5 linked regions of the Cricetulus griseus genome follow. The protein of the gene in region 4 interacts with the protein of the main gene of each other region in a pairwise test. Links are inferred from orthologs where the notes say so. Each region holds a gene or a part of one and is shown on either strand. Other genes may lie near its edges.

What was found.
Region 1: the proteins of Arfip2 (region 4) and Cep63 interact in binary tests that used the Homo sapiens proteins (3 or more experiments, as listed by UniProt). The link is inferred for Cricetulus griseus from reciprocal best matches to the Homo sapiens genes ARFIP2 and CEP63.
Region 2: the proteins of Arfip2 (region 4) and Mal2 interact in binary tests that used the Homo sapiens proteins (3 or more experiments, as listed by UniProt). The two-hybrid records come from large-scale screens. The link is inferred for Cricetulus griseus from reciprocal best matches to the Homo sapiens genes ARFIP2 and MAL2.
Region 3: the proteins of Arfip2 (region 4) and Arf3 interact in a two-hybrid assay, tested with the Homo sapiens proteins (2 studies listed by BioGRID and IntAct). The link is inferred for Cricetulus griseus from reciprocal best matches to the Homo sapiens genes ARFIP2 and ARF3.
Region 5: the proteins of Arfip2 (region 4) and Krt15 interact in binary tests that used the Homo sapiens proteins (3 or more experiments, as listed by UniProt). The two-hybrid records come from large-scale screens. The link is inferred for Cricetulus griseus from reciprocal best matches to the Homo sapiens genes ARFIP2 and KRT15.

The regions. Positions count from the first base shown.
Region 1 is NC_048597.1:210,865,487-210,870,086, reverse strand, and holds the start of Cep63 (centrosomal protein of 63 kDa), read left to right. Parts: upstream 1-1,641; 5' UTR 1,642-1,766; coding exon of another isoform or gene 1,767-1,798; coding exon 1,799-1,897; intron 1,898-4,435; coding exon of another isoform or gene 4,436-4,436; coding exon 4,437-4,474; intron 4,475-4,600. UniProt on the Homo sapiens protein: Required for normal spindle assembly.
Region 2 is NC_048603.1:797,713-802,283, forward strand, and holds the start of Mal2 (protein MAL2), read right to left. Parts: upstream 2,867-4,571; coding exon 2,735-2,866; intron 1-2,734. UniProt on the Homo sapiens protein: Member of the machinery of polarized transport. Required for the indirect transcytotic route at the step of the egress of the transcytosing cargo from perinuclear endosomes in order for it to travel to the apical surface via a raft-dependent pathway.
Region 3 is NC_048595.1:395,234,953-395,239,593, reverse strand, and holds the start of Arf3 (ADP-ribosylation factor 3), read left to right. Parts: upstream 1-1,774; 5' UTR 1,775-1,965; intron 1,966-2,722; 5' UTR 2,723-2,799; intron 2,800-4,641.
Region 4 is NC_048596.1:94,063,093-94,067,584, forward strand, and holds the start of Arfip2 (arfaptin-2), read left to right. Parts: upstream 1-1,507; 5' UTR 1,508-1,657; exon of another isoform or gene 1,658-1,762; intron 1,763-2,437; 5' UTR 2,438-2,479; coding exon 2,480-2,578; intron 2,579-2,797; coding exon 2,798-2,894; intron 2,895-3,557; coding exon 3,558-3,676; intron 3,677-3,848; coding exon 3,849-4,070; intron 4,071-4,492. Other genes in the region: Timm10b (mitochondrial import inner membrane translocase subunit Tim10 B), read right to left, coding at 748-924, 1,088-1,183, 1,331-1,360. UniProt on the Homo sapiens protein: Plays a role in constitutive metalloproteinase (MMP) secretion from the trans Golgi network. May have important functions during vesicle biogenesis at certain cargo subdomains, which could be predominantly utilized by secreted MMPs, such as MMP7 and MMP2.
Region 5 is NC_048600.1:112,451,977-112,456,721, forward strand, and holds the start of Krt15 (keratin, type I cytoskeletal 15), read left to right. Parts: upstream 1-1,521; coding exon 1,522-2,010; intron 2,011-2,871; coding exon 2,872-2,954; intron 2,955-3,072; coding exon 3,073-3,229; intron 3,230-3,634; coding exon 3,635-3,796; intron 3,797-3,895; coding exon 3,896-4,021; intron 4,022-4,179; coding exon 4,180-4,400; intron 4,401-4,745.

The sequences.
Region 1 (4,600 bases), on a different chromosome or scaffold from region 4:
AGAGGTGGGAGGCAGAGAGGGGAAGACCTCTGGGAGAGACTGCCAGACAGCTGAACAGAAAGCTCACAGGCTTAGTGAAAGACTCAAAGTGGAAGCGATAAGAGGAACACACTGGTGCTGACCTCTGGCCTCTACACTCACCCCTCACTCCACCTCTAGGCACAAACTTCACTACCATCAAGTCATGCACACACAATGAAGCAAAAGGTGGCCAGTACCTCCTGCCACCTAGGAACCAGGTGACTGCTTATCTTTTTTTTTTTTTTTTTTACACTTAGATTTAACTGCCTCTAGCCAGTGGATAATGCAGAGCTAGCTGCAGAAACGTAAAACTAATCCTTCCTGTCAGTTCCAGCCACACTTCCAGAATCCCACAAGTTTTCTAACTTTCTTGTCACTCCTTTGTTCTTGGAGCTATGTCTTGGGCTACCTTTGACACTTCTCCCACTGATTTTCTCAGGTCTATACAGGTTTTCTGTCCTCCAACGCTTGCTGTTTGCCTTAACTAATCTATGAGAAGTTAGGTCGGCTTTGTGACTGACGGGTAGGGTACTTCTGTCTCCAGTGGTAATGTGTAACAGCTGTACCAATGATTCCCGATCTTTCCACAAGTCGGCCTCAACATTTTGCAACATGTCCCTCTTCTATACGCTTGCAACCCGGCATGCTTTTCATCCACCTCCTGCACGTCTTCATCGGTAATGTTTGGCCATCCTTCCAAACCCAACGCGGATGACAGATCTTTGGGTGGGGCACTCGGGTTCTCCCTTTACATAAACAAAGAAGCAAGCACAGGCGATGCCCAAGCTACGGCCACTGCTCCAATCCCTTACCGCATATTATAACTTCTCCGGGTTACTTAAATATATATTTTTACACGCGTACTCTTCTCTTTTCTAGCGCAATCCTCACGCCCAACACAACTCTCAACTCTCAGGTTGTCTCCTTTAGACCCCAGGCCCTTCTCTTCACCAGTCCCCTAGATCTCTGGGGACAGTGCGTGACAACAGGGGAGCTTATGGCACTGTCCAGACATCTCCTTCTAGCTATTAGACGCGTACGTCTTATGCATTTTCGAAATCGACAGCTTTGTGAATGTATTTCTAAGCTAAAAGCACGGCGCAGACACTAAATTTGGTCCTCACGGGCCACCATCCCGAGTCACGAGACGCAGAGACGGTCGCCGCCGCCGCCGCAGCTTCCGGCCCGAAGGCTGGAGATAGCATATGCGGAAGTGGAAAGGGGAGGTGGAGCGTCGCCAAGCGGGCATCCTTCCGCTCCGCACGGCGTGCAATAAGAAAGTGGCTCTGAAGGTCAGCACCTGCCTGCACTTCTGGAAGCACTGGACGCCCGGAGCCTGGTGCGAACGCGGGGACACTCTGCGAAACCCGGGCCGCCGGCGCGGGAAGGAAGGAAAAAAAAACAAAAAAAAAAAACCCCTTACCCACAGCGCGCGAATCGGCTTCCTCCCGGCCCCGCCCTTTCTCCCGGCCACGTGACCCGCGGCGCCCGCATACCCCGTATGTGGTGAGTCCATCGCTGCTGGGAGGGGAGGGGGCGGGGACGGGGGGGGACGAACGTCAATTGTTGGGCGCGCGCGCCCCCGAGGAACGGCGAGCAGGCCCCGGGTGCGCGCTCCGCCGGGGACGCGCTCCGCCGGGGACGCGCTCTGTAACCGCCTGCGTGCCCCAAAGACCGGCGAGCCGCGGCTTGTTGTGGTGCGGACGCGGCCCTGGCCACCGTGGTGCCGCTAGTTTCCCGGCCGCATGGCCCGCGGCCGCTGTCCGTCGATTCCCACATGCAGCCGGACCCTCTACTGTTTGCCTGCGGCTGCCCGGGCACCGCACCCGTGGGTCTCTCCGACTACTCCATGTGCAGCTCGGTGCCGGCCAGCCAGGTGCTGCGGCCTCGGCGGAGGCGGGCGTGCGGGCGGGCGGGCGGGCTGCGGGCTTTAGGGTCAGCGGCTCAGCGGGAAACCCTGGTGATGTTAGTAGGAGAGGAGCGGAAGCGTGGCGGGAATCGCAGATGGCCTCATGCTTAAAGAAGTCAAGCATCGGGAACCAGATTGGGAGAGTGGAAGTTTGGAAAGGGCAGTTCCATAACGCTTGAACCACGGAGACGCTTGGCAGCGAATCTGGATTGCAAATAGGGCTTTTGCCCTGTAACAAAATCGCGCAGTTAGAGCAGGCTGTTGTCTCATTGGTAGACTTTACCCTTGCCCCAAAATACACCCTCCCTACTCAGCGTCTGCTCTCCCTCCAAGTCAGGGTCTTACTATGAAGCCCCGACTGAGCACGCCTTTAATCCCAGCATTTGGGAGGCAGAGGCAGGTAGATCACTGTGAGTTCGAGGCCAGCCTGGTCTACAAAGCGAGTTCCGGGACAGCCAGGGCTGCTACAAAGTAACGCAGAGAAAACCTGGGGAGGGAGGGGGAGGAGGGGAGAAAAACCCTGACTGGCCAGGAACTCACTATGTAGAACAGACTGTCCTCAAACTCGCAGAAATGGGCCTGCCTCTGCCTCCTGGGTTAAGGACCTGGTGCCACCTCGACTGGCTTTTCTAAGCTGTCTTTCTTGAGGCTAATTTAGATTTTTAAAAATTTATTTAGCAAAGCAGGGTAGGCGCTCAACTTCTCGTATACCTACATTTAGTTTTAATTTTGTATTTAGTTTATATTTTGTATTTAAGTAAAGGATCAATGAATATAAATTATCTTTAGCTATTTACACCTACTCTTCATGGTGTGTGTGTGTGTGTGTGTGTGTGTGTGTGTGTGTGTGTGTGTGTAATAGCCCTAGCTGTCCTGGAACTCGCCTTACAGACCAGGCTGGCCTCGAACTCAGATCCACCTGCGTCTGCCTCCCGAGTGCTGGGATTAAAGGCATGCACCACCATGACAAGCTACACTTACTGTTAAAGTCTGTAGCTTAATGTATAACAAAACAAGTTTTCTTATTTGGAATTCAGCACCATCTTTAGGTTAATTTTTGTCCCATGTTCTTTGTCTTTTATTGATCAGTAAAGGAGGCTGTAAAACTAAAATGGGTTAAATGGGTTAGAGATTTACAAACTCACATACACAGCCATTTAAAATGTGTGCATACTGAAGTTTTTTTTTTTTTTTTTAAAGATTTTATTATGTATACAACATTCTGCTTCCATGTATATCTGCACACCAGAAGAGGGCACCAGATCTCATAACAGATGGTTGTGAGCCACCATGTGGTTGCTGGGAATTGAACTCAGGTCCTCTGGAAGAGCAGTCGGTGCTCTTAACTGCTGAGCCATCTCTCCAGCCCGAATACTGAAGTTTTAAGGACAATATAGATATTATTAATTATGACAATGTTGCTTCCTCCCATGGAGCAGTAGAGGACCGTTACTTAGCCTTTCTGCTCTCACCTACTGTGTATGAGCTGACAGTGACAGCATTAGTCCAAACTGTCATAGCTAATATGCTCCCCACCCCATGGCTGTCATAGCTAAGATGCTTCCCATGCCAAGGGCTAGATTTGCTTTTATAAAACCATAGTACTACTTTTATAGCAGTACAAATTTGTAAAAAAAATACACAATGTCAGTATCCAGTGGGATCAGGTTTCTCCAGCTACTCCACATGTGCTTGCAATACCTTGTTTGGATCAAAATTCTGCAGAGAACTGTCTGCTTCATTGGTTTGCCAGGCATTTAAATCCTCTAGCAATAGCTGCTTCTTAACCTCCCATTCCTCTTTACCATTTAAAAATTAGCTGGTTGTGTGTAGTTTTGAACACTCGTCTCTACTTCACCTATGACCTCTACTCCACTGGCTGAATCCTGAGTTACACTGTCCAGTATGGTCGTCATCAGATAGCCGTGCTGTTTTAAATGAAATAAATAATTGGTTCCCCAGTTGCATTAGTCACCTTTGAAACACCCAGCAGTCACAGGTTGCCTAGTGGCTGCTGCTTGAGTAATACAGATAAAAATGTTTCCATAATCACAGAAAGTTCTGTTGAAATACAGTGATCAGAAGTGTTAGATTCAACTTTTTTTTTTTTTTTTTTGATAGGAAGTGCAAGAAAAAAAGCCATAGGTGTAGGTTCTATATTATGAAAATTATCTGTTGCATTCATTATCAGGGTGACATTTAATGTCTGAGTCATCCTATCTGGGATGTTACAGTTGAGCTGTGTAGAGTGGTTCCTGTGCTATCAGTTCAGCTGACCCACCATGAAATTGTTCAAGAGCCTTTCAGTTAATAGGGATACCTTTCTTTCATGGCTAGCAGTGCCTGGGTCTGTTACTGCACCACAGCCACAGAGTGGTGGTTTCTAATTGTGTCTTGTCTGGCACTTTGCTGAAGAACTTGCCTCCCATAACTGTCTGACTGCCCTGAAATACAGTTGGGACAGGAATGGCAAGAAAAATGCTTAACTCTGTTCCTTTCTTTTCAGACTACAGCAATGACTTGGTGGCCTGGCAACCTTCAAAGGTAACCTGAAGGCTTTACCTTTAAAACCAACAGATAGACTTTAATATGTTTAAAACTGTGGCCTAGCAACCTCCTGAGTTAACCTGAGGGCTTTGCCTTTAAAAACAAACCATTAGACTTTAATGT
Region 2 (4,571 bases), on a different chromosome or scaffold from region 4:
ATGTGTTCTCTCAGTGCTATACAGGCAGAGCCAAGCGGATCCCTGGCCAGCCAGCCTATTCTGCTTGGCAAGTTACAGGCCAGTAAGAGATCTTGCTCATCCTGATCCCTATGCCCAAAAGAGTCCAAAGGATAGTGAGATGACTCAGTGGGAACAGTGCCTAATGTCAAGTCTGAGAATCTGAATCTGACCCCTGGAACCCGCATGGTGGAAGTAGAGAACTGATTCCTGCAAGTTCTCCCCTGACCTCCGCACAAGCGTTGTGGAATGGGTGTGCCCTCTGTTCCCTCAATAAATAAGCAAAATATTAAAAAAGAAAAGGTGGACAGTTCCTGAGGAATGACACTCAATGTTGTTCTCTGGCCTCCATATACACTTAAACACACAGGCACGAGGATACACACACACACACACACACACACACACACACACACACACACACACACACACGTGCAAGTCCAAATGGCTTTGGGAAGAGACTCCTCTACTTTGATAAGAGTCTAACCCGTGTCAGGGTTAGGTAAGTTGCCAGAGGAGCGGCTAAGAAGACTAAGAAAGCAGGAAGTATGTGGGATACTTCCCCACACTTCCAGAATCTAATCCTCCTATCCATCCTAATGAACAAAAAAACGTTCTCCTTTCTGCAGATCCTGGTCCAAAGGCACTATCAGTCAGTTGCAGTTATTCTGTGTATTGGGATCTCCAGGGAACTTTAAAAAAAATTAGCTGACTCTGGGTGCTCCCTTAGAGACACTGGTTTAATTAGTCCAGGCTGGCAACAGTACTTTTCAAAGCTGCCAAGTTATTAAATACAGCCAGAGTTAAGAACTAACTACTGTGGTAGATAGGAAAAGGAGATATGGAGCTAGAAGGAGTTCAATAAGTCACCTTCAGAACTAGTGTTCCATAAATGTGCCACACCGTCAGGTGGGTCCTGAGTAGCATTTGTTTTGATAACATGTGGGCAACACTTCTATGCATATGTTTCCATATACACATGTGTGTATACATATATATATGTATATATATACATATATGCCATGTATATGTATACATACAAGTTAATTGTATAAATATATTTGAATAACTATTAGAAATGTATAACCAACATATCAAATTTGAGATGCAATGTATATTACTGCTGAGGATGAAGCTAAGTTCTAGCCAAAGGTTAGGCAGCAACTCTACCACGGAGGGCAGCTTTTCAAGCGTTCTTGGGATTTGAACACAGGTCCTCACAATTTTGCAACAAGTCCTTTACTCATTGATCCTTTGTCCTGGCCCCTGAAAATGATAAATTTTGGTGTTAATGTTTTCAGCCTGAGCTAAAAGGCTTGGTTTTGCAAGATCAACTTTGTATTAAACTTAGGCAAATATATGGTAAATATGTAACAGGGAAGGATAGCTTGGGCCAACACCGAGGGGCTGGCAAGTTAGGAGCTCAGTGGTAGACCACACCTATCTCAAGACTAATATATATAGCATCACTGTCTCATTCCTATGCCGCTGTACTGGGCTTAAACCCGAACCCACACCAGGGTCTTCTAGACTCACAGTCAGTCTGATCCCAGCTGCCACCGCCTCTGCTTTCCGATTCAAATCGGAGCTAAACCTAAGGTGGCTTGGCTACCAAAGCATAGTGGGGCAGAAAACCAAGGCTCCCACGGTTTTCAGCTCCACAGCACAAAAGGGAAGCCAGAGTGACCCAGATCCAGGTTATGCAAACTCACAGGAGGATGAGTGACATGAAAACCCTAAAGGGAGCAAACAAAACCCGCCTGCAGGAAAGGCCCTGCCTTGCTAACATTTCTTTCTATTTGACATTCTCCGGGCATGATGCAACCCCAGTTGCCCAATTTATATTTACACATCCCCCTTGTCCACAAGGAGCTTCGAAAGCTCCCAACTGTACAGCATTCCTTGCCCAAGTTCAAGTGTCTAGTTCCACAAGGTTGCAGGGCGGGCCTGTGACTTCAACTTTCCTAGGTACAAGCGAGGTGCTCCGAGGAGGTTTGGAATTCTCAGGTAAACTGAAAATGGACAAGGGGCAAAGGCGAGAGTTGGAGCTGACAGCCCCACGTCTGTCTTCCACTTTTCCCCACGGTTGGTTCTCACGGCCTCTTGATTACACACTGCCAACGGCACCTACAATCTCACCGTCCTCCCTGCCCCGTTCTTCCCCAATCCAAAGGGCACTGACGATGGCAAGGGTGAGTGGGGTGAAAACCATACCCAGGCTTCAGCCTCCTCCTGCTCCTCCTTTTCCCTGGCGCCTTCCGCCCCGGCTTTCCACATCCTACCAGCTTCCTGGCCACCCAGTCATCGGTACACCTTTGCACCACCCAACAAAATGGCAGGTTAGCGACAGGAGGGGCCGAGGGCGCCAGTTCCTCCACCAGGCAAGCGTAGACCCTGTCCAAAGCCCAGTCCCCGCGACTCCTCCAAGCGCTAACACCCCTCTCCTGCCCAAGTCCCTAATCTTGGGCCCTTTGCCTGCTCGCACTCTAGGGGACATTTCCATTCCAGGCCGGCGAGCAGGTGGCCGCGTAACAGGTGCCAAGCAAAAAGGCCCGGACACAGAGTGGAGGGGACCCCGAGACCGTGGGCAGGAAAAGGCCACTTCCAGGAGAAGGTGATCGCCGGGGGGACCAGACCGGGCTGGGGGCAAGGATGCTGCCTTGCCTGTCCCTGCTCCCCGGGGCTCGATCGTCGCCTACGCTGCTACCCTACTCACAATCTCCAGGCAGACGAAAGCTCCCGAGTAGGTCCGCAGGATGTCGGGGCCCACGGGCAGGGTGACCCGGGGCGCCGGGAAGGACACAGCGGGGTTCGGGGGCGGCGGGACTGCCGCTCCGCCGGCCGACATGCTGCCGCTGCTACGTCTCCGCGCACAGCCGCCACCGCCTCCCGCGTCCGCCTCCGCCTCCCTCCCGGGCTTGCCGCCGCCGCCGCGCCGCCGCGCGCCGCCGCCGCCGATCCGGTCCGCGGGGTCCGGGCGTGCCGCTCGCCGAGAGGGCGTGGCCAAGGGCCCTCTACACAGAGCCCCGCCCCGTCACGTGGGCGCAGGTGAGCACGTCCCCGCCCCGGCGCCCGCAGGGGTCACCCGTACAGGTGCGCGGTGCGCTCCGGCTACAGGGCCACCAGCTCGCCCAGGCTCTCGCGATCACCTGCTGCCCCTGCGCTAAATGTCCCGCGGGTCCCACCTCTCCATCCCACCCCACTCTCACCCGGGCCTCACCCTCTGTCCCCAGTTGGGCAGGAAGACAGAGACTGTGACTCAGAAAGCAAACGCCAGTCGCCAGGCACACCTGGAAAGCGGGATGCCTGTTTTAAAGGGGACTGTAATGGAATTTTCAAAGATGTCACCAGGGTCGTGTGGCACTTGGGAGTCGATGGCTGGCCGTAGGTCCCCGGAGGGCTGCTTTGAGGTTTCCTACTCTGTTCCGGGAAATCCCTATGAGGATATCCGCCAGTGAGGGACAGAAAAGTTCAGTGCCCAGGAAGCGCTCTGTAAACTGTAGCTTTTAGGACGGCAGCTACTTTTCCAATCCCGAGATCTGTATCATTGCTCTGTCTACAAACGATGTCAGCCGCATCACGTTTCCACACAGACCCTTTTCATTTAGCCCTCACACATGTACTCTTTGACACTGTCTTTTAACACTCAGCAGACCAAAAAAAAAAAAAAAAAAAAAAAAAAAAGGATGCTATGTATGAGTCCCTTGCCTCAGTTTACCTCGTGCGTTCCCATTGTAGTCTTGGTTTCAGTGTTAATGTCTGTAAGTGGGACAAAGGAAGGGGCATTTCTCAAAGGTCATCTGAAGATAAGTTAAATGACTCACATCAGCACACAAGTAGATCCAGTGGAAAAAACAATAGCTAACCCTGGCATGGCAGCACAAGCCTGGAATAGCAGCGTTTCATAGGATGAGGCCAGAGGATTGCCCTGAATTTGAAACCAGAAGGCTGCAAAACCGGTAATAGGACATCTAGGGATACCTAGGGAGACCCAGTCAAGCAACAAGGACACACACACACACACACACACACACACACACACACACACACACACACACACACACACACACTATCAGACAGTCTCCAAACTGAGTCTGCGAGTTGCTCCCTGCCTGGGCTGTCAGCAGGTTTTACCCTACGTCTTTATTGTTTTAATGAGCGAAACTCATAGGTGTGGTGGTGGTGGCACCAGAGGAAAAGCCACAAAGCAGGGTGTGGATGAAATCCTTTATACGTACCTCCTGTCACCTAGGGAGGTGATACCTGTTACTCACCACTTCCTGGCATTTTGTGTGTGCTGTTTGTCTCATAGGAAACCTCGTGCTTTCTGCATCGATTTGTTTGACCGATGAACTTTTCTGTAGCCAGACCCTGATTGGCAAGGACTTTTCATTTCCTCCTGGGAAGCACTTAGAAGATCTTCAAATGTGAGGCCACATCAGAGAATACCTTATGGAGATACTCAGTAACGGCATACAAGGTATCCAAAATATCGTGTTGAGTGAACTTGAAATGACCTTGAAATTTCCAGACCCATTCATGATGTAAAGCCT
Region 3 (4,641 bases), on a different chromosome or scaffold from region 4:
CAGGGTGGGAACCTGGAGGCAGGAACTAAAGCGGGGCCGGAGAAGGAGTACTGCCCATAGGCTTGCTCCCCTTGGCTTGCTCAGCCTGATTTCTCATGCAACACAGAACCACCTGCTCAGGGGTGGTACCTCTCACAGTGAGCAAGGCCCTCTCACATCAGTCAAAGAAAATCAGTCCACAGGCTTGCTTATAGGCCAATCTGATGGAATCATTTTCTTAATGGAGGTTCCCTCTTCTTGTAATGACTCTCTAGCTTGTGGTTTTTTTTGTTTTGTTTTTGGTGTGTTTGTGTGTGTGTGTTTCTTTTTTCAGTCTTTTTTTATTTTTTATATATTTGAATTACAAACAAGATTGAATTACATGACAATCTCAGTTCCCTTCTCCCTCCCTTTCTCCCCTACCACCCCCCCAACTAAAATCCTACCTATCATATGTCCTTTCTTCTAATCTATACCTGACTCAACCTTTCTGCTTCCTCATGACCTCTGTATCCTTCCTTTTCTTCCCTTCTCACTCTCGTAGCTTCCTCCCCCCTCTCCCCATGTTCTCAATTTGCTCAGGGTGTGTGTGTGTGTGTGTGTTTTGAGACAGGGTTTCTCTGTGTAGTTTTTTGTTGTCCTGGATCTCTTTCTGTAGACCAGACTGGCCTCGAACTCAGAGATCTGTCTGCTTCTGCCTCCCGAGTGCGGTGATCAAAGGTGTGTGCCACCACCACTTGGCCAGCCTATTTCTCAGAAGAAGATAAGAGCAATAATTTTGGGTCAGGTTCTAGGGAAAAGCTGTTTTTCCATATATGACATGCATTTAAAGAATGTGGTGGGGGCTGGAGAAATGGCTCAGCGGTTAAGAGCGCTGGCTGTCCTTCCAGAGGTCTTGAGTTCAATTCCCAGCAACCACATGGTGGCTCACAACCATCTGTAATGAGATCCGGCACCCTCTTCTTGCCTTCAGGCATATATGCAGACAGAACACAGTATACAAAATAAATAAATAAAATTAAAAAAAAAAAGAACGCGGTGTTCAGTTTTACTAGTGAGGGCCCCTCTAGTGCAGCTTCCAATATAGCTTCTAACCAGTCTCAAGCAGCGTCTCCATCACGTTTAAAAGAAAAATGAGTCTAAAGGAAGGAAGGAGGGACCATGGGTGCTTTGTCCTCGGCTACTCATCCAAAGAGACTTCATCAGACCTGCTTCTGGGTAATTAACATTTCTGCCCTTCGTCTTTCAACTTCCTAGACGACCCAGATTCCAGACGTTTCCTCCAGTATCTCAAATGCATTAATCTCTCCCCTCTTCCATTATGAGAAACGATCTCCCGATTCAGACCTCAGAGAAACCATCCTTAGGGATCAGTGAGCAGCAGCAGCAGCAGGTGGGGTGCTGCGTGTTTATTAGAAATAAAGACCGGAGTAGGGGCAGGTGTCAACAAAGGTTTTCGCATCCACACTCCACCGCTGGCTCAGCCTGAGAAACCCCAGACACTCCCTTGTTCAGGTCGGGCCTCTAGCGCGGCCCGAATGTGGTCTCAGTCCTCAATTCTAGGCCAGGCCCCGGAGCTTGGGAGCCGCACCTCGGTCCCCACACCACAGCCTCATCTCCACACTCAGCCTTTTCCAGCCCCCACACCAGGCTCTGCTTCAGCACCCGACCGCTTTTTGCTGCAGCCGCTGCCATGGTGATGGGTCTCGCGAGAACTGCCGCTCGCTACCGCGCACTTCTCGCGCGATCGTGGAGGTGGGAAGTATCCCGGACTGGGGGTGGGGGCTCGCCGCACATCTCCTGTCGCCGTCGCGGCTTCCGGTGCTAGGTGGAGGGAAGGAAGGAGGGGAGCCGGGGAGCGGGCCAGCGGACCAGCGTCGCCGCCACGGTCGGCTCGGGGAAGCGGGAGGCAGCGGCCCGAGAGCCAAGCGGAGCCTGCGGGGGCGGAGGTGGCGGTGGCAGCCGCGGCGCTGGGCGCAGGAACAGGTTCGGAGCTGGAGAGGGAAGGCGGGTCCGGGGCAGGGGAGAAGAGGCTGGCTGGGTCGGGTTGCGAGCCGAGGAGCCCGAGGCCCCTCCTGCCGGGCGAGGGGCGGGGGGCGGTGGTCCCCAGCCCCGCTCCTGCCCCCGCAGCTGAAGGACGCCGAGCCGGGGTGGGGGCGGGGGGGGCGCACGCGGGCTCCGTCCTCCGCCTCGCCCGAGGAGGGGGCGACCTGGGCTGCAGAGGTGGAGCTTTCGAGCTTGAGGGGGAGGCGAGTTGACCGGTGGGAGGTGATGCGGGGGCGGTGTGGCTGTTTGGATCTTTTCCTTCTGTTGAAGGGCTATGAGGAATGCTGCCCTTTTTTTTTTTTTTCTTTTCTTTTCTTTTTTCCCCCTCTCTCCCCCGCCTGAGCTGTGGGGGGACCAAAGAAAAGCCTCGCTGTGGTTATATTCTCCCTCGCCCGTCGTGAGGCATGGGAGCCGGGGTTTGGTATCAGGGCCTGCTGGTGGGGCACCGCTGCCCACCGTTTTCATGGAGGTTGCGCCCTGCTTTGGGGTGTTGGGAAGGGCAGGTTGGGAAGAGGGCAGCAGGTGGGGAGAGGGTGGAGAGAGGAGGCTGGAGAAGGGGGAGGGGGACCTGAGCTAGCTTGGAGGATAGAGGTGGGGCCTTCCTCCCCCAGGCGTAGCGGGGGCGGTCTCATCGGAGGAGGGAGCATCTTGTCACTGGCCCTGAGTTTGTGTCTTCCAATCCGCTTTCTTTCTCTAGGAAGTACCAGGATTCCCGGAACAGAAAATGAAGCCCTTGCTTACGCCAGTCCTTTGAAGGAAGGGGGAGGTGGGGAGGTAAAGTTCCCCCATTAAAACGCAGCCCCACTTGATTAGTTAAGTGGTGGACTCTCTTTTGGAGAGACTTGTTCGTTTTGGGAGTTCTGTTACTGCTGGTCTCTGGGCCTGATGGAGGAGAATGTGGTCAGGAATGAGAAGAAAATAGTAAGGTCATGAGGGTGAGGAGAAAGGTAATGTAAAACCTATCTCTACGGACGCTGGATTGGGTCACCCTTGGTCTATGGCATGAAAGTTTTATTGGGAGGAGATCTGCTGCCGGAGTCTGATTGCTTGACTCATTGCAACAGGATAGAATCTAGTCTCTGCATACCTGCATCTGTCCCCAGTCAGGTAGATGGAGACTGTCTTTGCTGCCATTTTGTCTTAGGCCTGTTTGGGGGTAGTGTCAGGATGGGCGGTGGCCAGAGGTGGTGGTCTTTTGTGTCCTGTTTAAATAAATTGTTAAAGCCCGTTTTAAGAAAGGCTCGAATCACTCGTTCATTTTTGCACAGAATGAATCATTGACCTTGGAGGCAGCTGGAAAAGGAAGGCTCCCATTTGTATCACATTCAATGTCTTGCCATCTTGCACAGTCAATTTTCCTTCCTTTCTTTCTCTCTTCCCCTCCCTCCCTTCTTTTCTTTTTTCTTTGAGACAAGATATCTCTGGGTAGTCCCCTTGATGGCCTCAAACTTACAGCTGCTGCCTCTGTCTCTTGAGTGTTGAGGTTACAGTGTGGGTCCCCACAACAGACCCCTACTGGCTATTTTGAGACGTGCTGGGTTTGAACTCAAGAGTCTTTCTTTTGTAAGATGAACAAAGGGATGGGAGTGTATAGCAATCAGCAAGGTTTCTAGCTATAGTTTCAGGAAAAGGGACGGAGGAGATCTCGGCACTAGGAGATGCAGCAGGAGGATAGAGGTTTAGGCCAGTCTGGGTTATGTAGCAAGACTGTCGCCAACAAAACAAAATAAAAAAACCTGACATATTTAGAGATAGACAAGCAATTGTCTATCTTATCAGGTGTTAAGGGTGATATTTTAGTGTGCGTTTATCTGCTCCCATTTCAGTATTTATGAAGAGAGGAAGTGGGATTAAAGGACAGAGCAATCTCTATTGAGAACAAGAAACTTCTTTAAAATTAGGTTTGTTGCCGGGTGGTGATGGCTCATACCTTTAACCCCAGCACTTGGGAGGCAGTTTTATTTTTTAATTATTTTTATTTTATGTGCATTGGTGTTTTGGAACTGGAGTTACAGACAGTTGGGAGCTGCCATGAGGATGCTGGGAATTGAACCTGAGTCCTCCAGAAGAACAGCCAGTGCTCTTAACCACTGAGCCATTTCTTCAGGCACTGAGACCTTACCTTAAAACAAAACAAAAAACCCAAACAAACAAAATGAAGGCTTCAGGGACCAGTGGGAGCGTAGGCTTAACACAGTGGTTCTCCACCTTCCAGTTGAGACTTTTTAGGATTTCATAAGACTATCAGAAAACAGATATTTACATTGCAGTTCGTAGCAGTAGCAAAATTACAGTTCTGACATAGCAAGGAAAATAATTTATAGTTGGGGGATCCCCACAATATGAGGAGCTGTATTAGAGTCTCAGTGTTAGGAAGGGTGAGAACCACTGACTTGCAGGTAAGGTTACTTGAAGCCTCGCCTGAAGGCCTGAGTTTGAGTAAGTTGGAAAGAGAATCACTGTTCAGAAGTTGTTCTTTACCTCCACATGTGTAATATGGTGTGCACCTGCCCACATGTACACTAAATGAAAGTGTAATTACTCTTTTAAGGGCTAGAGAGATGGTTCAGCAATTGTTCCTACCTAGCACCCACATTGGGCATTTTTATAAGTCTC
Region 4 (4,492 bases):
TCACCATCTACCTTTCCCTTTGATTTCTCTTCTTTAGATTTGACTAATGTAGGCCTTCTGACTTGCCTTGAAGACAAGAAGAAAACCCTTCTTTGTTTAAAGTCCTTATTGCTGATTTCACAAAGACAGGAAATATTTAAGATGGTAAACTGGGGAAATGATTGAAATTCTAGACAATATTCCCACATTCTTACAGGCTTATCTTTGATCTCCTAAGAATTGGTGGCTAAAGCCTATTGTGGTGCTGTTTTCTTCTTCCTCTTGTTGTCTGATATCACATTCTTCCCCTAGATGCAGCACAATTCTTTTTGTATTACAGCTCAGAAGAAAACTAGTTATTATGCAATATATATTCAGGCATTTGAGTTAGGCTCAAGGATAGCCACTGAGAGCTCCCCTTTTGGAACCAATTTCCCATTGCTATTACTAACCTTAAAACTATGTTTTTGCTGGGGATCTGAGAATGCTGAGTTTGTCCTACTACATTACAGAAGGCAATTTCTCAACTGCCAGGGCTGAGGGGAGAAGATAGGCACTAAATGGCAGAATAAAGGTTGGTACCAATAAGTGGACATAAATAAATTCCTGCCCAGAAAATCAACCAGAGTAAAAACCCGGTTTATTGGCTCCAAGAAAAGGAGCAATAGTGCCCAGCTTTCAGGCTCAATCTTTCTGTACAAATTTCGACAAGCCCAAGGTTCATAGAGGAGCCCATCCAAGCACCTTCTCTCCTGGGGCAGGCGATGGCTAGCTGCCTGATGGCGAGTCTCTGGGTTGTTCTGCAGTAACACCTGGCACGGCCGAGGCAGCCTCGTAGTCCGCGATGCGGCGCTGGACAAGGGCGGGCATGAGGTGGACGTAAGCGGCCATGAGGCGGTGGTTAGAATGGATGAGCTTCCCAGCACAGCTGTGTAGACAGGCCTCCTGGAAGGAAGACAGAGGTAAGCAGAGACCAAAAGGGGTCCTGTCAAGCCCTCCTCTCCGGGGCCCCAGCCTAGGGGTGAGGTCATGGGAGACCGAGATGCAAACGGGGGGTGGGAGGTGGACACGTCACGTTGTCAACCTCTGGGGTCCCCACAGTCCCCACCTCCTCAGCGTCCAGAGCTCGGTGGTGCAGGCTGGGCACACAGCGCTGGAAGCACAGTTCTGTCATCCGATTGTAGACCAACAGGAAATCTCGCAACTAAGAGAAAAGCGGATCAAGGCTTCACCACCGCTGAGGGTTCCTGGCGTGCGCAGTGCAGCCTGCCTTCCCCACTGGGGGTTCTTGCATGTACCCCAGAAAACAAACCGCACGTCTAACCCCGAGAACAACTTAGCTCTTACTCACGTTTCTTAGTTGCTGCTGCTGCTGCTCCATCACGCTCGGGGCACGCAGCCCACTTTACTTCCTCCCTGGGGGCGCGGAGTCACCCCGGAAGTAAATTCTCCCTAGTCACCAAGAGCTTCAAGGCGTGGTTCCAGTATCGCCCAGCCCATGTCTGCTAACGTCACCTCCGCCCTTTTGCTCTGCGACGTGGCCGGCTTCTTCTGCCCAGAGGGCACGTCACTTCCGCCGAATCTCTGACCTGCTGCTAAGATCGCGACGGGAACTGGAACCCGAGGTCCCCGCGCGGTCCGGCCCTCGCGCCCTGAGGGGAAGAGTGGCCCGGCCCAGGTGAGAAGGACATACTTGTACGAAAGGAAGTTGAATGCACGAACCTGTGCGGAGGGCAAGATGCCCTGAGCCCTTGGCAAGGATGAGGACACACCTGATGCCCAGGTGTGTGGGGGGGTGGTGGAGGGGACCTCTCACATCTGGAAGGCATAAACTGACTTTGGAAGGGACTGCCTGTGTCCTGGGAAAGAAGCTTTTAACTGACACCGGGAACACACCAGCTGCTTCAACTAAGGCCTGGTGGGGAGGGCCTGAGGGAGGCAGGTGCATGAGATGGAGAAAGGAGAGACCATTTGAAGGAAGAGGGGAAGGAACATCAAAGGATTTGAAAGACCAGGGATTGCAGAGCATGCTTGAGTGGCAAGTGAGCATCCGAGTCTAGGAAAGGGTTTTGCCTTCTGGTAAACATGCCTATGCAGGGCCAAGTTCCCAAAGAGCACAGACATTCCCCTCTGGCCCTCACTGCTGTAATCCCATTGCCTCAGTATCTGACGCATAGTAGGCACTCACTAAGTGTTTGTTGAGTGACTGAATGTGTAAAGGTTACTAAAGGTGAGGTTGGGGTTTGTGAGAAGACACCCAAGGCTTTGGTATACATGCATCTGTAGAAATAATGTACTTGGAAGAGAAGAAATACACATCTCCAGGAAAGTAGGGGCTGATCTCCAGGGACACCCAAGTCCTAACAGACAACCCCTGAAACCTATTAGAACACAGGGAAGGCCTCCTTGTTCTGGAGTGCTGGCCAGTTTCCAGAATTGTCTGTGTTGGGCTTTACAGCGTGCTGGGGTGGAGACCTTGACTCCAGTACCTTCCCTAGCCATGACGGACGGGATCCTAGGGAAGGCAGCCACAATGGAGATCCCAATCCATGGAAATGGTGAAGCTGGGCAGCTTCCTGAAGACGATGGGCTGGAGCAGGTGCTTCTGTTTGATTCTTCTAATTGTTTCAATTTAGCAATCCTGACTCTTGAATGTTTCGCTTTTCCCATCCCAATAGACTTCATTTAGTTAGTCCTCCTTATAGTTTTCAAGTCGTCATTATGATTCTATACAGACTTTACTATATACTGTCTCTATCCCCAAAATATTTCAGCCACCCCCATGTTCCTGAAGTGCCCCCTCTTCTCTGATCTATAGGACCTCCAGCAGGTGATGGTGTCAGGACCCAACCTCAATGAAACTAGCATTGTGTCTGGTGGCTATGGGGGCTCTGGTGATGGACTCATCCCCACAGGTATGAATGATAAGAGACAGGAGGCTTGAGTGGGAGGGAGACTAGGAGGCACATAGAACACATAGGAAAGCGTGAATCATGGATTGGAGAAACTTGAGAACTGCTAGTGTGAAATCCATAGACTGTCCAATCCCAGATCAGCTCTCTGAGCTCATCATCTGCTTCCCACTTGCCATTTAGATTCTAGCTTTCTCAATTGTCTTTTCTTTCCCTGGTGCCACCACCTGAGCCAAGTTAAGACCTATAAGTCACAAGAGCTCTGCAGCTTAAGGCTGATTTACAACTTTGTGAAGCTTCTCAGAGTTTTATAAGAGTCTTATACTGACTAAAATTCTACTTGGAAATACAAACCAGCTTCCCTGTTTTCTGTGCCCACCAGCTTTGACCCTTCCAGTCCCACTCATCATGTTTGCTTCTGTTTCTTCCTTCCCTGTCCACCCAACAACACTCCTACACGACCCCAGGAATGCCAAATACATACATTGAGTTGCTTTGGTTTTCGGGACCTAAGTCCCCGTTCCCCCTAATGAGCAGAAGAATTCAGTTATCTAGATTTCCTCTTTTAGAGAGGTCATTTCATGTGCTGGGAGGGAAGGAAGTGAGGTCACAGAAGTATCTGATTGTATGTGAGAGAAATTGGTGTTAGAGAACTTGATCCTTTAGGGTCTGGCCGCCATCCATCTCACAGCACCTCACCTTCTGGCCCTGGTGATGAGGTGGCCCGGGGCATCGCCGGAGAGAAGTTTGACATCGTCAAGAAATGGGGCATCAACACATATAAGGTAAGAGTCGAGTGCCTCTTCCCAGAAACTCTCCATGGGTACCTTTTCCTTTTCCCCAGATCTTAATACATAGTCTTTTGCTATGACTAAGAGAATGGGGGTGTTGGAGTAGTTACTTGTCGGGGTTGGGGTGGAGTTTAGATTTCTGACCTCCCACCCACTTCCCAATCAGTGCACAAAGCAGCTGTTATCAGAGAGATTTGGCCGAGGCTCCCGGACTGTGGATCTGGAGCTAGAGCTGCAGATTGAGTTGCTGCGTGAGACGAAGCGCAAGTATGAAAGTGTCCTTCAGCTGGGCCGGGCACTGACAGCCCACCTCTACAGCCTGTTGCAGACCCAGCATGCACTAGGGGATGCCTTTGCTGACCTCAGCCAGAAGTCCCCAGAGCTTCAGGTGCCTCAGCCAAAACAAAGAGGGTGGGGGTACTGGGCCCTGGCCCTTCCAGGCAGGCATTCCTCAGCCTCCCTCCCTCCCTCCTGCAGCCCCCAGGGAGAACCCCTCTGGGGTGTGCCCAGTCCTGCCCCCAGCATCACTCACCTATGGAGGCAGCCTAAGGGTTTGTACAGAGGTCCAAAAGTTGGAGGGGTTGTGGGAGAGGGCGCTCTGGTGCCTCACAAGTAACCCTTCTCCATATCATCAAGAATGCCTTTGGTGCTTGGCCTAATCAGAGTCCCTCCCCTGCCTGCTGCACTAGCTTTCCCTGTTCCTGTCTTCTAAACTTACCTAAGACTCTACTCCCACATTCCTACCCCAGGCATCCCCTAGGCGACCCTACTAACTTTGTGGCTAAGAGAGCCTTGCTAGAGGCAGTCTGG
Region 5 (4,745 bases), on a different chromosome or scaffold from region 4:
GGGGGTCTCAGGAGGTGCAGGTGCCAGACCTGCAGCTATCACCCTGCCTCAGATGGATAATGGGGAGTCAGGAGAGGCAGAATGGGAATCTTGAGTCTCAGCATGTCCCATAAAGTGAGTGTCCTATACACAAAGAGGCTGAGCCTTGAAAACTGACGAGTACAGATCTTCACAGGAGTCATTCATAGAAATGGGGTTTAAACACAGGCCCAAGGAACGCTGGAGCCCTATTCACTTTCTCGTATTGTAGCTCTCCATTAGAAGCCCTCCTGTGGATTCTCTCCAGTCTGGGTGGCACTGCCCACAGTGCCATTGTCTTAGAGAAATAGGGCTGTTAGAGCTGGTGGCAGAAGACCCTGTCCTTTTTGGCCTCAGTATTGCAGTGACTGATTCCTTGGCCTCTGAGCTCTGATGTGTTCCACCTGCTTGCCAGCCCCCCTTCCTGCCTCCGCCTTCCTCCCTGTACTTAGGCACGCAGAGCAGAGCCTCTAGCTCAGCCCCTCCCCAGCTGGCAGCAGCTGACAAGGCAAATGGGGGTTAATCTGGCCCCTGCTAAGCAGCGACATGTCTCTTGCTGAAGAAGGCGGGGGACTTTCTGGAACTCGCCTGGGTCTTATCTGCAGAGGTTTGCCCCAACGCGTCTTGGGAGCAAGCAGAGGTTCAGTGACATGTGCAGTTGGCTGGTGACAGGACCATCAATCAGACTCCTGTCAGCCTGAGCCTTCTGGGCTTTTGTGAACTAGCCAGGACCCTGGGCTGGGGGGGGAACTGAAGAGGTAGGAGGGACTTCTGGAATTGGGGTGGTGGGAGGGCTGTGAGAGGAGAGAGCATGCCCAGGTATCAGGGATGGGAGAGAGGGACAGGCACCGGCTTTTTTGGTCAACTCGTTTGGAAGTTGACTTGAGACCCTATTAGCCTGCACTGTGGTCACCTGTGTTCTCATTCCCGGGGACTTCCATGTCCCGAAGGCTATGTATAGGGCGTTTGAGTAGGTAGTACAGAGCAGTGGTGGGAGAAACTGAAAGCAGGAAGCTTTCTACCTGGGGTGAGGCTCACATGCCAGCAGTGGGCTGGGGTGGGAGGCAGAGCTGGCCTGGCTGCTCTAACGGGATGGGACATGAGGGAACTTGGGTGCTATGCTGAGGGTTTGCTCTTGTGGCTCTCTTCTCCTTCCTGGAGTGAGAAATGAACCTGTAATCCAAGTGTTAAAACCATGGCCTAGAGCAAAACCCCATTAATTCTGAATCATCTCTCTTGTTGCATTAAGAAAAAAAAAAAAGAAAAGAAAAACTCACCACAAGCGAGCCCTGTGGAGGTGTGCAGGCAGCTGTATTTGTCTGGAAGGCAGAGGAGTTGGCTCCACTCAGGGGGAGGAGGCAAGGCCCCCACCCCCTTGAAACAGTATATAAGGAATCCCAGGCTAGGGGCGACAGCACTGCAGCCTGGTTTCAGCCCAGCTCAGAAGCTCCTGCTAGAGTCCCTCCTGCTTGAAAAGGACACGAAGGCTCAGGCTGCCTGACCATGGCCACCACATTCTTGCAAACTTCTTCCACCTTTGGAGGTGGCTCTACCCGAGGGGGTTCCCTCCGTGCTGGTGGAGGCGGCTTTGGTGGAGGGAGTCTCTACGGGGGAGGTGGGAGCCGAAGCATCTCTGCTTCTTCTGCTAGGTTCGTCTCCTCGGGGGCAGGAGGGGGATATGGGGGCGGTATGAGTTGTGGTTTTGGTGGTGGTGCTGGTAGCGGTTTTGGTGGAGCCTTTGGTGGGGGTTTTGGTGGTGGCTTTGGTGACTTTGGTGGTGGCGATGGAGGTCTCCTCTCTGGCAATGAGAAGATCACCATGCAGAACCTCAATGACCGCCTGGCCTCCTACCTGGACAAAGTACGTGCCCTGGAGCAGGCTAACACGGAGCTGGAGGTGAAAATCCGAGACTGGTACCAGAAGCAGAGCCCAGCCAGTCCGGAGCGAGACTACAGCCATTACTTTAAGACCATGGAAGAGATCCGGGACAAAGTAAGTCCTCATATATATGTCAGACAGAGGGAAACAGGCAGTAGGTGCCCTGTACACATATGCAACAGCAACATTGCTGTTGACTAAGAGAGTCCTTCCCTGCTGTGTAACCTGGCAAGGCTGGGATGCACCTGCTTCCCAGGCACATGTGGGAACACACGTGTTCCACTTGGCAGTGCTGGGGGAGGGGAGGGAGTGGTCTTGGGAATCTGATTTGGATACACAGGATTGCAAATGAGGGCAACAAAAGAGAGCAGCTCCTTCTCCCTGCCTCACAAAAACTTTCAGGGATTTTTGCAACTGATTGCTTTAACTTTGTGACCCGTGTGCTGTTCAGGCACAACCTCAAGAGTCCTAAATGCCAGGGCTGTTTACTTCAGGCCTCAAGGATGTCTTTATTGTTGATCATTGCTAGATCTTAGGAGACCAGGGAACTCAGTGGAGGCTGTGCCACCCCCTCACTTTCCCTTTTAACTAACTGGATCTGTTTTCCTTAGTGGCAAACACGTTCCTTAGCTGCTGTCCAAGTTCCCAATGACTGCAATGTTTTGGAGATGAAGGGCTCTGTCAAGGCACGCAGGAGGCAGCCACTGTGAGCTGTGCCCAAGTAGGCTGGTATAGTGTGTCTCCCGAGAGTCCTGACCTGACAGAGCCAACTGTATCCATTGCAGCACGGTCTTGACTAGCCATGCCCCCAGGCAATCCCAGGCAATACTGCCTCGTTAGTTTTCCATTCCTTGAAGATGCCACAGGGAAGGGAGCATGGGCCAGCACAACTGATGCACACAGGAAGAGAAGCTGGGCAGTAGTTGGCGAAGGGGGTCGTGCAGCAGCCCTAAGGTACAACTCTGTCTCCTGCAGATACTGGCGGCCACCATTGACAACTCGCGTGTCATCTTGGAGATTGACAATGCCAGGCTGGCAGCGGATGACTTCAGGCTCAAGTGTGTTCCCATTTCTCCACCCCTGTCCATTTCACCCCCTCTACCTAGCCTTCCTCCTCTATGACTCAGAACCTGGGCCCCTCACCTTTCCTGACTTTGGCTCCTCTCCCCTCCCCAGGTATGAGAACGAGCTGGCCCTGCGCCAGAGTGTGGAGGCCGACATCAACGGGCTGCGCAGGGTGCTAGACGAGCTGACCCTGGCCAGGACCGACCTGGAGATGCAGATTGAGCACTTGAATGAGGAGCTGGCCTACCTGAAGAAGAATCACGAGGAGGTAACAGCAAGACAGGGTGGTAGGAAGAAGCCCAGGACAGCCAGTCTTTTGTCACAGTCCTCTGAGGGCTTGGGGATTAAGAAATGTACCTGGGGGGCCCCATGGAAGAGAAGGGGCACTAATCTCTGGTAATCTGGACCCAAGGCCAAGCCATGTGTGAACTGCAGAATTGGTTTGCTTCATGGGCTTATTATCTCAAGGTCCTTGTTTCTTAGGACCCAGAGCAAGAGAGATCCTCAGAACTGAGGGGTCCATGTGTTCCAATGGGGAATAGAGATAGGGTGGTGTGATGTGCTAAGGTCACATTGTGAGTTAGAGACAGTCAGAGTTAGCCCTCAGGACTCTCGATTCTTTGTCTGCTTTATAGCCTTGTCTCTAAATGGTTGTCACTCCCACCCCTTGCAGGAGATGAAAGAGTTCAGCAGTCAGCTGGCGGGCCAGGTCAATGTGGAGATGGACGCTGCACCTGGGGTGGACTTGACCCGCATGCTGGCCGAGATGAGGGAACAATATGAGGCCATTGCGGAGAAAAACCGTCGGGATGCAGAGGCCTGGTTCTTCAGTAAGGTGGGCCTGACACCCCCAGCTCTGCTCTCTCCCTCCTTCCCACTCCAGAGGCCTCTGAGGAGGCCCATGAGGCTCATGTTTCTCATGTGTGACTTGCAGACGGAAGAGCTGAACAAGGAGGTAGCTTCCAACACAGAAATGATCCAGTCCAGCAAGACGGAGATCACAGACCTGAGGCGCACCATGCAGGGGCTGGAGATCGAGCTGCAGTCCCAGCTCAGCATGGTACGGTCACTCTCTCCCTACTGGGTGACACATGGCCAGTAAAGCCTCACCTCACACATTCCTGTCACCTCAGGCAGTCCTTACCACCCTTCCTGCTCTTCTCCCTCCAGTGGGTTGCCTTCTAGCCCAATGGGTTTATGCATCTGTCACCCCACCAGAAAGCCGGGCTGGAGAACTCTCTGGCAGAGGTGGAGTGCCGCTATGCCACACAGCTGCAGCAGATCCAGGGGCTTATTAGCAGCCTGGAGAGCCAGCTGAGCGAGCTCCGCTGTGAGATGGAAGCTCAGAACCAGGAATATAACATGCTGCTGGACATCAAGACTCGGCTGGAGCAGGAGATCGCCACTTACCGCAACCTGCTTGAGGGCCAGGATGCTAAGTAGGTGTACAGGTGCAGGGAGAAAGAAGGGGGATGGATGGATGGCCCAGGGCCATCAGAAGAGGAAATCAGGGTATCCCAAGAGCTGCTTTGTTGAGTGGAAGGAGACCTAAGGGGTCTGGAGTCTCCATTCTGGTGTTCAGCTGTTACTTTGGGCATATTGTTTCTGCTCTGGACCTGTGCTTCTCCTGTAAATGATGGACAGGGCACAGGCTGCAACTCCCCATCTGTCTGTTTGGGATGGCAAGCCTGAGGGACTGACCACCAGGACTGACCTTAGAAAAGTCATTGTGGTGTGGGGGTTGGAAAGGACCGCTCAGCTGTCCACTAGGGCTCCTTTAGGGA